2 linked regions of the Lytechinus pictus genome follow. The main gene of each other region encodes a partner of the protein of the gene in region 2 in a complex. Links are inferred from orthologs where the notes say so. Each region holds a gene or a part of one and is shown on either strand. Other genes may lie near its edges.

Region 1 (7,380 bases), on a different chromosome or scaffold from region 2:
GGCTGGATTCCCCTTTAACAAGTATTTTCCATGTTCTGAAAATGCACCCCTTAACAAGTATTGGCATGTGAAACCCTACCCTTAACAAGTACTGGAAACAAAATGGTACCCTTGGTATTTCCTGAATTGACCCCCTAAACAAGTACAACGATATCTTAATTGTTATGTCATGGACGTCAGCTTTACGTTTACTAACTTCATTGGGTTTAGTACCACTCCACACAAGATGACGGCGTAAACATCGGGCAAGTCTCTTCCGTCTATTCATGATATTTTTCTCATTTTTTTTATGAATTCTTCTTCAAAAATAACGAGAGCGTAGAAATGTCGGAAATTAAGTTTTATCCCATGTACATGATTTACTAGGTCTAGATCTTTTAGAAGGAAAGTAGAAATCTCGGGGGTGAAAGTTTCAGGTTTTGGCTTCCTTTGTGTGGGTCTATGAGTAGGGTGTCTGGAGAAAAAAACTATTTTTCTTATTCCAAGAAAATATCACATTTTCTTTGTGAATTTGAAGAGAAATAATCTTCAGACTGACAGAAATATAACATTTTTTTCAAAAATCCAATTATTGGCTGCAAAAAAGAAGAATGAAATTAGGTCAATTTTCAGCATTTCCCTGCCACAGACTGTGTAGTTAAGAAATGGACACACACAAATCCAAATTTTTAGCTTCCGAGAGCTGTTTTAAATAGATTTATTATTAATGCCAAAAACTTGTCCATTAAGTGTCAAATAGGAATTTTTATGCTCTTTCTGATGGTATGATTTTTATAAAGATTTGGAAACCAGATCACAATGAAAAATTGCGACAAAGTGAAAAAATTTGTGCAAAACAGAAATTTCATTTTCCCATAGAAAACGCATGGGGAAATGGCAATCTCAACACACACACAAATAAGGGTTTGCAATTTATCTCTAAATCTTCATTTCAAATAATCCTATAAACTTGTCCTTACTGTCAAAAGAAGCCCCTGAATTTTCTCTTTCCATACATGCCAAACACAAGTTAATAATTAATTCAGATCACATTTTTATAAAATTATAGCCAGTAGAGGTGCACGGCCAATATTGGAGACTGTCTCCAATGTGGGAGATTATCTCCAATATCAGAGACTTTTGTAAAGAATTTGGGTATCCAATTTCAGAGACAGTCTCCAGTTTTGGAGACCAATTTCCTTTGTTTACATTTGCTGCAAAAGGATTACCTTGGCGGCAAATAAAAATGTGATAAGCAGATTCCTCATGAAAAATTACCCCTTTTCACCGTCTACTTTAAAAATTCACCGTCTACTTTTGTTTTGATAAGGATTTTTGTTGTCAATCACACACAAAACAAATGGGCTTCTGACCTAGTCTTGAGGACTCCATGATGATGTCTTTTAAAACAAATTTGACATATACTTCTCCATCATGGAGTCTTGAATCCCTTCCCATACATGCATAAGAGAATCTTGTAAACACAGATGGATTTCCCCATCTTTTTTATTAAAAATCGATAAAATTAGCAGGATTTTATTATTCCCTACACCTTCCTACGCCTAATGCATAAGAAGGTTTAAAAAAATATTGAATAAAAATACGTAAAAATAAAGGTTTCTTACCAGACCGATGTCGTGTAGATCCTTCGCTCCACATGTACACAGCGCAAATACAATGGCGACGACCCTTGAACCGCTTATGTATGACGTACATGTACGTAGGTAAACACAGAGAGAAATAGTGCGCATGCGTAGCTTATTGTGCTAGTACAAGATTAGGAGCGCTAAACTCGTCATTAACATAAGAATGTTTGACCTCTGCACGACGTCGGCCGGGAATCTTGTACTAGCACAATAAGCTACGCATGCGCACTATTTCTCTCTGTGTTTACCTACGTACATGTACGTCATACATAAGCGGTTCAAGGGTCGTCGCCATTGTATTTGCGCTGTGTACATGTGGAGCGAAGGATCTACACGACATCGGTCTGGTAAGAAACCTTTATTTTTACGTATTTTTATTCAATATTTTTTTAAACCTTCTCATGCATTAGGCGTAGGAAGGTGTAGAGAATAATAAAATCCTGCTAATTTTATCGATTTTTAATAAAAAAGATGGATTTCCTGGGGAAATCCATCTGTGTTTACAAGATTCTCTTATGCATGTATGGGAAGGGATTCAAGACTCCATGATGGAGAAGTATATGTCAAATTTGTTTTAAAAGACATCATCATGGAGTCCTCAAGACTACTTCTGACCACAGTGAGACAAAATTTTGGGTGGAAAAAATAATGCTTTTGACTTTTGTTGGTGTTGTTTCTTTTGTCCTTTTGAAAAGCAAGTCTCCAATGTGGGAGATTGTCTCCCCTATTGGAGAGAGTCTCCCATATTGGCCGTGCGCCTCTATCCAGACTACTGATAGCAGCCTGAATTTCCAGAAAAAATTGGCCATATTTCCCCCTAAATCAGCCTGTTTTATGCTGACACTTTTCAGTGTGGCTTCAGTCCAGACACCCTACTATGAGATAGAAGCCCTGGCTTCGTATGAGAGTAACCTTACGTTAGTAAATGATTTTTACTCTCTAGAAGCCGCCTGGCTATAATGTAGACACAACTGTATTTTTCCAGTAGATGCGGTATAAAAACATGACATGAATATGGACAGGTGGGAACGTGTAGTCCTATGCTTCCCAAAGTCCTTCACCACACAAATAATGAGCTAAATTAACAGAGCATCATTCAAAGATAAGTTTTACACTTTATTCAATGAGTAAAAAAAAATTAATAGACCTCTGGATTGCCTGGAACATGTTCATCCCAAAATGGATTTTCAGGCTCGTCAACATCATCAAAAGGATTGGTAGACTTTCTGGCACTGGTGGCTGCCATCTTGCATCCTTCTCACTCGACGGACACTAAAGAGACGGCATTGGCCATTGGTCGAATCATTGAGTTTCTCGTAGATTTGTCCAATCAGGGATCTTTGAACTGGAAGCAATAAAACTCGGCATCTCCCTTTTTGCTCCGCACCCGAATCAAGATGGTAACGAAACGACCCTACATCTAAATTATATCATGTTAAATCTCAGCTTTATTAACCCATCCTCTCATTGAATTGTCTTTGTTGATTCCGTTTTTACTACTGCATTAATTGTATTGTGTGTGCGTTTATTTGTATTTACGATAAAATACATTTTTCACTTTTAAATGCGAGGTAGCGCCGAGATTTGTTGCAAAGTTACTTCTCATACATAGCGATAAACTTGTATCCTTCTGTCCAAATTATGTTGTATCCGTTTTTAACGAACGAAGTTCAACGAATTAAGAGATTGTTAGCCAAATTTTGCCTTCTACCAGGTGGAAGATATATTATAGGCCTACAAGTCATTAGGAACAACCTAATTTCTAACCAAGTCCAAGCTCCCAGGGCCAGGGAGTTCCGGCCCACTTTGCGTGCCGGAGCCCAGGGGAGCGTTTCATCAGTAGGCTAGAGGCGCTGGTCAGAAAATTGGGATCGTCCCAGTTTACAGGGACTGTCTCAGTTTATAAGGATTTCTTCACACAAGAAATCTAGGAAAGTTCATTCACCTGTCAAGTGCCGACATCAATCAAGTGTGCTAGTCAATGTAAACATATCAGGTTTCAAAACAAGATTATTGGAAGAAGGTAGTAGGCCTAGGCCTAAGTCATGAAAAATAGAAGGTGAACTGGGGGGAATTGAGGTCACTGAATCTATTTTTAGCACTCTCAATTCCCGTAATTGCTGTCTTTGTCCCGTAGGGGGAAGTGAAAAAAAAACGTCCCCATAAACAAGGACAGTCTCAATTTATCAAGACAATAGACATGATTTGTCTTGGTTTATGAGGATATCCTTGTTTTCTGGGTCAATCCCAATTTTTGGACCAGCGCCTCTACTGTTCATCAATATTTTCATCCTACAAGTTGTCAGATCTGACATCTTTCCATGATTTTGATTGGCAGAGAGGCACTGTCCCTATGGTAACTGTCGGATAAAATGGGACTTGTCGGATTAAGCGTCCGACAAGTCCTTTCATGAAACGGCCCCCAGGACTCGGGAGTCGACAGTGTAAAACGAGGGAGACAATGTCAATGGGTGATTTCAAGTATGGTGAGACTACCACATATCGACCACCTCTTTTGAAACCGACCACCTTGCGCGCGTTAAAATTATTGCGTATTACAAACGATACGCGCGGGAGAGTAGGCGCAGTGTCCATAGAAACGGTAAGAATCGATTTTACGAGAAAAAAAGAAGCAACAAGAAGTAAAAATTTAGTAGAATTAATCAAAATTGTATTGACCAAACCCAAAACCCGCTGAAAAACCAAGAAATCCGATAGGAAACGGCTCTAGAACAAATATCCGTCGTCAATCGTCGAATCATGTGCCGGAGCTCGCAGTGGAAGTAGTGAGACGATCATTTAGCATGTTGACATAGAACTGATTTGGAAGAGTAAAAATATTTCGCCACCGCGACAAGAATCGGTCGTAAACTTAATGTACCGCGGGTGGTCGGTTTCAAAAGACTGGTGCAAATGAGCAAATGTAAAATCGTCGTATTCGTTGTTCGTCGATATATACGCGGATTGAATCGGAGTCGCCGAGCGAAACATGGGAATCTGATCTGCTCAATTTTCTGCACTAATGAGACGAAAACTGGGTAAAATTGATGAATATTTTCGCAGATATGATGCTTAGAAGATTAGGTGGTCGATAAGGGGTAGTTCCAACCATACGGTGTTGAAATCTGGTGTTGGTGTCGTGACAACACCAGCCACAACACCGTCCGTACTTGAAATCAGGCTGGTGTTGGGATTGACCTCGGAAAATATGACGTATTTCCGGCAGTTCGTGTTGAGTGCTGCCTGCTGGTGTTGAATGTCGTCTGCTGAACCCGGCACTGCGGCTGGTGTTGACGATCTACGACGTGCAATTTCCCCATTCACCAACACCAACCCCCAGGGATTGGGAAAATCATGATTTCAAGTTCGGTGTTGGTTTTGGTGTTGGCAATCTCTAGCTCGTGAACAGGCGGCGAACACGATGAAACATCCCCGTAAAATTAGCTTTTACAGTTAGGGCCTAATAACTAAATAAGATGAGTACAAATCATTTGAGCTGTTTATATTTTGATGAAGAATAATGTTTACTCTTTCGAATTCTTGAATCAATTAAAACATTGGTATTCTGTACGATGAGAATTTAATGCATTTCTCTCCGATTTCATTTTCGTCGTCGAGACTTCTCGCTTGAAGTTGAGATGATTGCGCAGGGGCGTGACATGTGCTATCGAAAACGCAATCGGTATCATTCCTCTGAACCCAGCTCGGTTCAGCGGCTCAACACGAACGCCGAACTTGAAATCACCCAATGGGGTAGATTGGGGTCTCAATAGTAATCTTAATAAAATGTGGAAACAGAAATTATGCACTAAATCACGATTTATATCGACATGGATGAAGGTCTATCGTGACACAAATCCTGACATCGAGGCACAGACTGGAACCTCAAAAAAACGAAAAGTTCTGTCGCGATAGACCAAACTTAAAGCTTCGGTCTCTGTATGTTGGTTGTTCCGCTGAACTCCGTTGGCTCCACTCGCCAAATACAGAGACAGAAGTTCTAGCTCGATCTGTACAGGGACTCAATGGCCATATGTTTATGTATTAAAATCGGATAAAACAGAGAAGTGAAGTTGTGGGACATTCGAAGTAATTAGTAAGTCACTGTTTTGTCCCCTTTTAAGTTTATATTTTCCCGTTTTGGTGCATTTCAGGCCAAAACGGAATAATAAACTTCATTTTGGTACATTTCTTTTGGAATATTTTTATGAAATAAAGACAAAAATTGACGAGCCCCGTCAGGGGGATTTTGCATTGTTAACCCCCTGGCCTAATGATGGCTGCACGATAGCGAGCCGTCTGTGTACGAGGAAAAATAAAAAATGTTAAAAAACTCCTCGAAACTGACGGTTGCCATCTGTCTATGTCGCGATATCTCTCCTTTCAAAATTCAAAACAAAATAGCCGATCAAGAGTAGAGGCGCACGGCCAATATGGGAGATTGTCTCCCATATTGGAGACTTACTTTGCAAAAGAAACAACACCAACAAAAGTGTAATTTTTCCACTCAAAATTTTGTCTCACTGGGTCAGAAGCCCATTTGTTTTGTGTGTGGATGACAACAAAAATCCTTATCAAAACAAAAGTAGACAGGTGAATTTTTAAAGTAGACGGTGAAAAGGGGTAATTTTTCATGAGGAATCTGCTTATCACATTTTCATTTGCCGCCTAGCTAATCCTTTTGCAGCAAATGTAAACAAAGGAAATTGGTTTCCCAAACTGGAGACTGTCTCTGAAATTGGATACCCAAATTCTTTACATAAGTCTGATATTGGAGATAATCTCTCTCATGGGAGACAGTCTCCCATATTAGCCGTGTGCCTCTACTGACCGACGCTATATTTTGATTTTTGAGGTTCCAGTCTGTGCCTCGATGTCAGGATTGTGTAACGATACACCTTCATCCATATAATCGTGGCAAGTGCATAATTCCTGTTTCCACATTTTATTAAGATTACTATTGAGACCCCAATCTACCCCAGTCCCATGTCTCCCTCGTTATGGTCGACTCCTGGGCTCCGGCCCGCGAAGCGCGCCGGAGCTCCCTGGGTTACCTAATTTCATGAGTAGGCCTACACAATAATACATGGAGGCAAACTTGTGCTATAGTCGAGATCTATTCTACCTCTGTAACAAATATTTTAGAACTAAACTTAAGGTCTCACAATGATGAGAGAGAGACAGGTGGTGTATGTTGGGGGGGGGGGGCACTCAGTATGTATGGTGGGTGTGTGCTGCGGAAGGGACCCCCATTTTTACACTCAAATTTTAATTCCAACCAAGCCAGGCATAGCAATTTTATCTTATTTATTGAGAAAAAGAACAAAGAAAGCCGCTCCAAAGCATAGCATTTTCTTGTCGAGAAAAAAAAGAAATCCATTCCAAAGCTTCGCATATATTTTGTAACGCCGTTCCGGCGGCATTGATCTGCTACAATGAGCTGCAATTTTGGTGAAAAGTGGCCGCAGAGCGATGTCCGACCATCACATCTGCGCGAGCGCACCCGGCGCCTTAAGTTTACCCCGTGTAATACTAGGCGGACATATGCTCTCCAAAATGGGGTTGAATGGGGTCGCAATAGCACTCCAAATAAAAGGGGAAAAATAAATTATGCCAAGGCTCCACATTAACTTTTTTTGGTGGTGGCCCCAAAAAAATTATTTGAAGGTTTTGGTGGCCCGATATTAAAGTTTGGTGGCCCGAAAAAGATAAAGAAAAACATTAATTAAAAATGAATAAAACAAACTTCTGAAAT
Region 2 (7,984 bases):
TCTGTGGCATTGGTAGATATAAAAAAAAAAAGTGAATTACATATTGAGTTTCATCTAAATTCAAATCTTAATATGTGGAGCATATTGTAAACAAAAAACAGAGTTGAGAACTTTGTTCGAAATAATTAGAAATATATTATTGTTTCTGAATGTTATAACAAAAATGTTTTTCAGATACTCAAATATACAGAGATATGCAATGATAAAGGAACAAAAATTCGAGGAAATGTTTTTTTTTTCTAACCTCGATTTCCACTGGCAAGACTTGAGCTCTGATCATCATCGCTTTGTGATGATGTACTGACTGCGGATGGTCTTCTATGTTGCTGTAGTTTCTACAAGAGACAGAGAGAGCAATACAAAGAGATCAAAGCATATCAGTTCCATAATTAAAAAAAAAGTAGAGTTAACATCTAGACAAGAACAGATATTCCAACTATCATATTATTGGTGGCAGATCCCCACTTTGAGTTAACACATGTACTTCACAAAGTCTCCCCACCTCACTTGAGTTTGAATATATTGTAGTTGGCCCTAGATGTGCCTGTAAATCTCAACTTTTTCTCCCACCCAATATCAAAGAATCTGCATCATTGTATCATTGCCTAATTCAATGAGAGAGCTCTTAAAATATCAAAAGTGACCTCTATCCTCAAGACATTGTGCTTTGTGCTACACGGTCTCAAGTTTGTTGTATTACGGTGTTTCTCAGCGGAAGAATCTCTGTGACATGAAGAGATGCTTTGGGTAGGGCACTTTGCACAAAGATAATTTTCTTTACATCAAACCCTGTTAAAATACAATAAAAGATTTGAGCAGGCTTGTACACACAGATCTATACGAATGGTGTATCAAAAATTATATTCATATCGAGTAATTTCAAACAATACTATAAAATGCAAGGAATTTGATGCATATTTCTTTTAATTTTTTTTTTCAAAACTGTTTAGACGACCTCCATCATTTTTAAGCTTGAAGAACCCAACAGCTTTCTTGCAGATATACATCATTCTTACTCTTATACTTATTTTTGTATATTTTGGTAAGAAATATAAATAAGTGCATACTTACATATGCCACCTGCCTGAGATATTTCTCAAAGTGGATTCTTGAAATGCGAGGGACATACGGAGAGGAGGGAATTTCACTCTGATCCACGAAGCCTTCACCCCACGTCTTCGTGAAGAAATCTGTTTCCCTTTTGACCTTTCTAGGGTCATTTAAGACAGCAGGTAAGTTGACCACAGATGACAGGGGTGTCCATTTTTGCTGAACACTGACCACTGAGGGAGCTACTGTCATAGAAGGGGCGTCGCTATGAGCTGCAGATTTTAACCTGTTTGCTAAAGCTGGAAGGTGTTATTAAAAATACAATGAGAAAAGTTATTGATTGTTAGTGTAAATTTGTAAATAACATACATGTACAATGATATATTTTAGCAATGGCGGTAAATAGTAAAAATAAATAATGTAGAAATTAATGCTTTCATCTTTTACAAGATTTGTAAAAGTTCTATCAAGCAAAATCAATTAATAGTAATATAATCTTAATGTGAAATAATACATAAATGTTATTGTATTTATATTGTTAAAAATAAGGCTAGACAAGGTGTGGGCAGACCAGTGGTACTGCTCACCCTATGATGTATAAACCATACTAATGTCGAGGATGGTGTAGATTTCCAAGCAAGACTGCTATGAAGATACCTAACTAACGAGAAGGATGAAGGACTTGAACTGGAAGCACGACTGCTGGGATCATCAGCATTCTTCCAGAATCTCAAGTAAAGGTAAATAATGTTTCAAATAATTCAATTGATGAAAATCCCAATTTCCCAACCACATGCATCCCTGCTAATTTTTTTTACAGGTTGAAATAAGTATTCCTCACTTTTCTTACACAAGGATTTGATCTTTGAAAACCACTCATGACTGACTCAATGAATAATAGTCTGCTGGCATGAATCGCTAGTGGCTTTATAAATAAGGCAAATGCATGTACACAATATGCAGTACATAGTTTAAAAGGGTAAAGCCACATTGCAGAATACTCTACTACACTCTAAATCAGTAGTAAGAACAAGGAATAATTTTCCTGGTTTTGCATCACCATTTGCTCCTCTCTTTTTAAAGACTGCTACACAAAAAATGCCTGGTCAGATTTGTAGTAAAAAAGGACTTCAGATCATAGAGGTAGCTGAGAGAGTTTTATGACTTAATTTTGCAAAAATTGTTGTTTTGCAAAATTATTCCCTACAAAGTGATGTGATTTACCTTCATCCATCATATGGTCCCTTGCAACATGATATTCATAGTCTACATCACTCACTCCATCCACAGGCAATGTTGGGCAAACACCATGAAGTCCATAACGGCAAACAAATGAACCACCCTCCTTGGTACAATGTTTATCCCGTAAATGTTTGAGAAAATCTGTTTGAGTTCTAAATGCAATACTGCATAATGCACATTTCCGCCAAGGTATAATCTTTGGATTTTTACTTGTTCTTGCCATCATTGTAGTTCTTTCATTTCCTTGCCTTAAACGTTCATGCGTCTGCTGCTGCTGTGCAGAATATGACGCTTTGATTTCATGAAGATTTGATATGGAATGGTCGCTAGATGATCTACTCATTACATCATTAACTGATAATTTGTCATTGATTCTTTCACACACTTGCTCAATTTCACTATTTGAAGTATTTCTCACGCTTGACCGTAAATTCTGCTCTGTTGTTGACAGGCCCGCTTGTCGTCTGTTTCTCGCGCCGGTAGCCTCCTTTCGCCTCCCCGGTGCCTCCCCATCGCTGCTGGACGAGTGAGACCCCAGGCCCAGCGAGTAGCCAGTGGAAGTGAATGACGGATGTGATCTGGACGAAGGAATTGAGCGACGTCCGGAGCTCATTTTCGTGTAGAATACTCCAGATACTATATGAAAAAATGATGGCTAACTATTCTGATCCATGAAACAAGGTGGAATATTGTTTCCTGCAAACTAAAATCATTTTTCACAGGCGTATCTCTGGCATAGAAAACGTCGTACCTGTCCACGTAACAGCTGTCTATGACAATTTATACACAAATAGATCGTAACGATATATCAAATTGGCAAAACATGTTTGATGTGAGTTATACTATTTCATGTATTTATTTTTTATTAATTATAAATTTTAGAATTAAATGTTATGTAAATAAATATATATAATAAAATACTATAAATTGATTAAACAAAAATTGTATACGCTTTATTTTGTTTGAAATTGTCGATTTTATTGCCAATCAGTAAAATGTGAATTATCAATTTGATTGTACTCTACCTTCAAAGCAAAAATCATATATCACACCATAGAGATATATACTAATAACGTATACATCTCACACATAATGATCTTTAAGGTACGATCTTTAAGCCTATGCTAGTGCCTCATTGACGGACAGTCTTAATTTTAGTATTTTGTTTTTTCATGGCAAACTGTTCCCATGCAGTCAACCACTTTTTTAAGTTTCTATTGACAGCCGATCTGGGGTTTCAGATAAAAATTTGAGCATTCTTCATCCATATATGATGCAATTTTTTTTCCACAAAAACCTGGCATTTGTATTTAATAATAATAGTTTGGTCTGTTAAAAAATCTGTACCATTCATATCTTATATAAAAATTGCCCCCAAAATAGAAAAATAAATGTTCTTTGTGATCTATTTATCTACTAATGTATTTAATTATTCATTATCTAGAATTTCAGTCATTTATTCATCTATTGATTATTTAATTAATTACTCAAAAACTCAAATACACACACACATTTAATTAATTAAGCAATATCATCAATCTATTTATTTATCATTTAAGCTTCATTCAACTAGTTTCGTTTCCGATTTACAGATTATGAAGAGACAACATAATAAAATAAATTGAATAAGGAAAGAACAAAGGACGTTGTTGTTTGTTTGTTGTTGTTTTAGTTGAATGTGAGTGCGCTCCTCAACCTGTAGTAGGTTCTACAGGTTTCTTAGAATTAATTGATGTCTTCGTCAAATAGCACATTCCATATTGACAGAGTAAATAACCCGCGTGATAAATTGTTCGTGGAAGAGGCAAGCTAACCAAAACGGTTAGTTGCATATACATAAAACACAATAATTCACGTATATAATCTGGGTTAATTTAATTGCTTAATGTACATGTTATTCAATTTCATTTTTTTTTCAACAGAGTGCGTCTCTTTTTTAAAAAATATTTTGAACAAATAAATATAATGTTTGATAGTTTCGAAAACTTGATATACCTCACAGAAGCCTGACAAATACTGTTTGTTTTGAAATATAATAGTTTAATCGAATAAACGGGGGGGGGGGGGTAACACTGAATAACGTATTCTTAGGCCTATATCTGTCTGAGAATTTTAGAAAGATATATATAAAAAAAATTACAGATATATATTAAAAAAACAAAACATGGATGGATACATACTCAATGTTCTTTGACGTGCACAAGTGTGAAACTCTATTCAGAGGAAAATTGGATGGAGGAAAAAAAACCTCTACATCAAATTGCTCTTATGACTTAACTTTTATTGAATGGTTACACCGTTAGAGAAAATAAACGCAGATAAAAAAAATGTTTATCTCGAAATTAAAAAAAAAATGTCATAAGGAATATCAAACTTATATTGATATAGAGATATAGTTCTCTATCATATTATGCTAGAATGATTATGAAACACGGTCATAACAGCCGGGCATAAGAGGAGTAATGCATAAATTTCCATCCATGTAGGCCTATTAAAATTTCGGAGGTGTGATTATACGGAAAACATCTTAAGAAATAATCGCAAAATCGAAATATTCTTTTCACTCATTTTCATTCAAGTAGAAATTTATTCTCTTCCATTTTCATGAAATATATATTTTTTTCAATATAAGTTATACAAAATAATTTGTCATAGAATAAAAATACATAAGAGATTTTTTAATAACAGAAGATGTCGTAATTCCCTAATAGCAAAAACTGTAACACGCCTCTAACAAAAGTACAATACAAATATGCAAGAAGGGCCAGGAAAGGGCTGAGAGAAGAAATACAAGTTAAGTGAATTGCCTGTTACAGCAAACGAAATGCCTGTGAAGGACGGCGGAAGAATTCGCAATGCAAATTTAAACTGCTAGAACTAGAAACACAAGCCACAATCTAAATTCATAACTGTCATATACTCATTAATTTTAAACCACTCATTTTTTTGTTCGGCTCAACTACCTTTCGATGTTCAAAGTCCATTTTACCAAATATGAAATTGTTCATACTCATTCACGCTTGTTGAACTTTCATACTCCATAATCTGATTAAAGCAAGTTTTCGCACAGCCACGCCGAACGAATTCGAGAACATAGTAAGCGGTAAGTGTACTGAAAATGCCGGTCAAATGACAATTAACAGCTGGGAGGTATTTGTCGAAAATTAGTGAAGCGGAACAGCAGATTCGTCCTAAGTTCCGGAGCTGACGAATATTGCACTATATATGTCGTTTGTCCAGAGTCCAGAACAAAACTGCTGTTTTGATTCTCCAGCATCTTTAGACAGTTGCTAAGTACCCGGAGGGCATTTGACAATATAGGCCCATATTATTTTCTATTTTCTTGAAAGCGTTGTGCGTAGCGGTGAGATTGAGAGGCTAGAGACACGCATATAGTCAGACCTATCATGCATCTAAACTCAACACTGTGCTCTAGTTCAGGTTGAATTTTGATTTGGATGCCCAATATCTCAAGTCGGTGAAGCTACCTGAATTGCATTCTGATTTCTCTCTCTCTCTCTTAATTCAGTATCACGTATGTGACGATGACCCTTTTCTCTGTTAGGGGATACACGGTTTCGTGGCCCTTAGTTGGTAGCCTGATCGCTATCCTTATTGGGTAAGTATGAGTTTGTAATATTATTGGTAGAATCATGTATGGACCAGTAGGCTTACGTATAGAAGGTTATTAACCAGATAAATTCATTATTTTCTTCTTTGTGAATACCATGCTGTACCTAGAAACGAATGATCCAGCAGGATGCATGCAGCAGTAATGTATGTAGGGTGGGGGGGGGGGCACTTGTCAATTGTACCACTTTAGGGTGCTAAAAATGAGTAGGGAGCTAGGGTGGGGGTATAGTAGGAGATACTTCAACCGGAGAAGACGCAAGGGTAAAATTGAAAGAGGGCAATTTCACTACTTGCATGCCCACTGCGAGATCTGTTGGACTGAAAGGCAGCACTGTAGCTTGTCCTTGGAACATAATTTTCAACTTGCAATGTTGTCAATAGGTCTGTTCTTCTATGATATTAACAAGTAAATTTTAAAGTTATAATCATCGTTGTTGCCTCATAGACATAACGATTACGACCACAATAACATTTATTGAAATCATATAATTAGGGTAGCTAGCCTATATATCAAAATGATCATTAAAATGATAATGTGTCAAAGACTGCGTTGTTGCGTCAGTTAATCAATTGAATCAACTCACTCAGACATAATACAGTATATCTACGATTTCTTTCGTATGAAAAGTCATTTAGGGCTTACATATTCTGTCTCCTCTTGCTAGGATATGATTCTTCATCATCTAATTCAATGTGTACATTTGTTTTCCTTCAGACGTGAGATATGGAGACTGACCTACTTCAAACGACGTGGGATCAAAAGTCCTTCTGCAAATCCTTTGTTCGGCAACGCTCTTCAAATCATGCAGGTATATAGACATATTTAGAAAAAAATATATAGCACACACGTCATTATGCACATTGTAAAAAAATGATTACTATATATTTGGGATTTTGTGGTTGTTCATATAACAGACACCAATGACAGATGTTTTTTTACATTCTCTTTTATTTATTTTTTGACATTTTTAACCTTTCACCTCATTTATGTGACAAATAGTTATTTTTATAAATAATGAACATAATGCGCCAGAAATGATATTTATCTCGTTGTTTTTTTCTTTCGATTTTGTTTAGAGTGTTCCTGGATTCTTTTTGAAATGTCAAGAGAAATTCGGCACAGTATTTGGGTGTGTATATCAGTCTATAGATGTTGAGTGTATGCACACACTATAGGTCATAGTTCAAGATGAAAAAAGTATGTAGTCAAAATGCAAATTGAAAAAAAGTAAAGATGTCTTACTGTTTTTTTTTGTCTGTTTCTTTATGTGTTTGTATTTCGCTCCTTTTAGCAGTATTTCAGTCTGAACTTAACTCTTCACATGCTGAATTGATTTTGGGGGTTAATAATGACAACTGTTTCAATGCTATTTTATTTGAATGAAGACTTCTGCATTGTATCACTGATACTTATGATTATTATATAGATGTTATCCAAGAACTATTGTAATTTATAAGCTTTTCTAATATGTATGTCAATGAGAAAACTAATTATTACCATTGTTCAATTTATTTGTACGAATGTGCAAAATTGCAACATCAGCGCGCAAAGAGTTAATAATAATGATTATGCAAAATGCAATAAAGTATCCAGGGATTCTAAAAGTGGAAAGGGGAGAAAATTTTTGAAAATCTGAAAAAAGGGTCTTGACTTGCACGGCTGTTTCCACGAAAAAAAACTTTTCAAGGCTTACAAGGGGGGGGGGGGGGCACAGGATAGTTTCCACCCCACCTGGGTCCGGCACTGAACATATCAAATATTGTAGGCATGATAAATTAAAGACTGATGCAGATAGATTTTAGCTGTTCGAAATAAGGAAGGATAAAGCATAATGTTCTGGAAATAAGAGTGAAATAAGAAGGGGTATATGAGGAAAGCTGTATTTAGAAGGAGGTTCACTTTGTCAACAATTCAATTCTCGTTTGCATTAAATGGGGGGGGGGGGGTCTTCACTCCCAAAACGGGTACAATTAATTAAAAAAATAAAACTATTTATATCATGGGCGTCAGCGCAGAGGAGTATCCTTTCTTTGTTCGTGGGAATCCTCTGAGCTGACG

What was found.
Region 1: vacuolar protein sorting-associated protein 54-like (region 2) and vacuolar protein sorting-associated protein 52 homolog share a complex: the UniProt entries of both Caenorhabditis elegans proteins name them as parts of the golgi-associated retrograde protein (GARP) complex. The link is inferred for Lytechinus pictus from reciprocal best matches to the Caenorhabditis elegans genes vps-54 and vps-52.

The regions. Positions count from the first base shown.
Region 1 is NC_087259.1:15,676,169-15,683,548, forward strand, and holds the start of vacuolar protein sorting-associated protein 52 homolog, read right to left. Parts: upstream 3,092-7,380; 5' UTR 3,026-3,091; coding exon of another isoform or gene 3,023-3,025; 5' UTR 2,872-3,022; coding exon 2,773-2,871; intron 1-2,772. Other genes in the region: small ribosomal subunit protein uS13, read left to right, coding at 3,023-3,025. UniProt on the Caenorhabditis elegans protein: Acts as a component of the GARP complex that is involved in retrograde transport from early and late endosomes to the trans-Golgi network (TGN). The GARP complex facilitates tethering as well as SNARE complex assembly at the Golgi.
Region 2 is NC_087251.1:34,989,513-34,997,496, forward strand, and holds the start of vacuolar protein sorting-associated protein 54-like, read right to left. Parts: upstream 3,092-7,984; 5' UTR 2,906-3,091; coding exon 2,275-2,905; intron 1,350-2,274; coding exon 1,072-1,349; intron 336-1,071; coding exon 245-335; intron 1-244. Other genes in the region: cytochrome P450 3A24-like, read left to right, coding at 5,838-5,911, 6,641-6,734, 7,003-7,055. UniProt on the Caenorhabditis elegans protein: Acts as a component of the GARP complex that is involved in retrograde transport from early and late endosomes to the trans-Golgi network (TGN). The GARP complex facilitates tethering as well as SNARE complex assembly at the Golgi.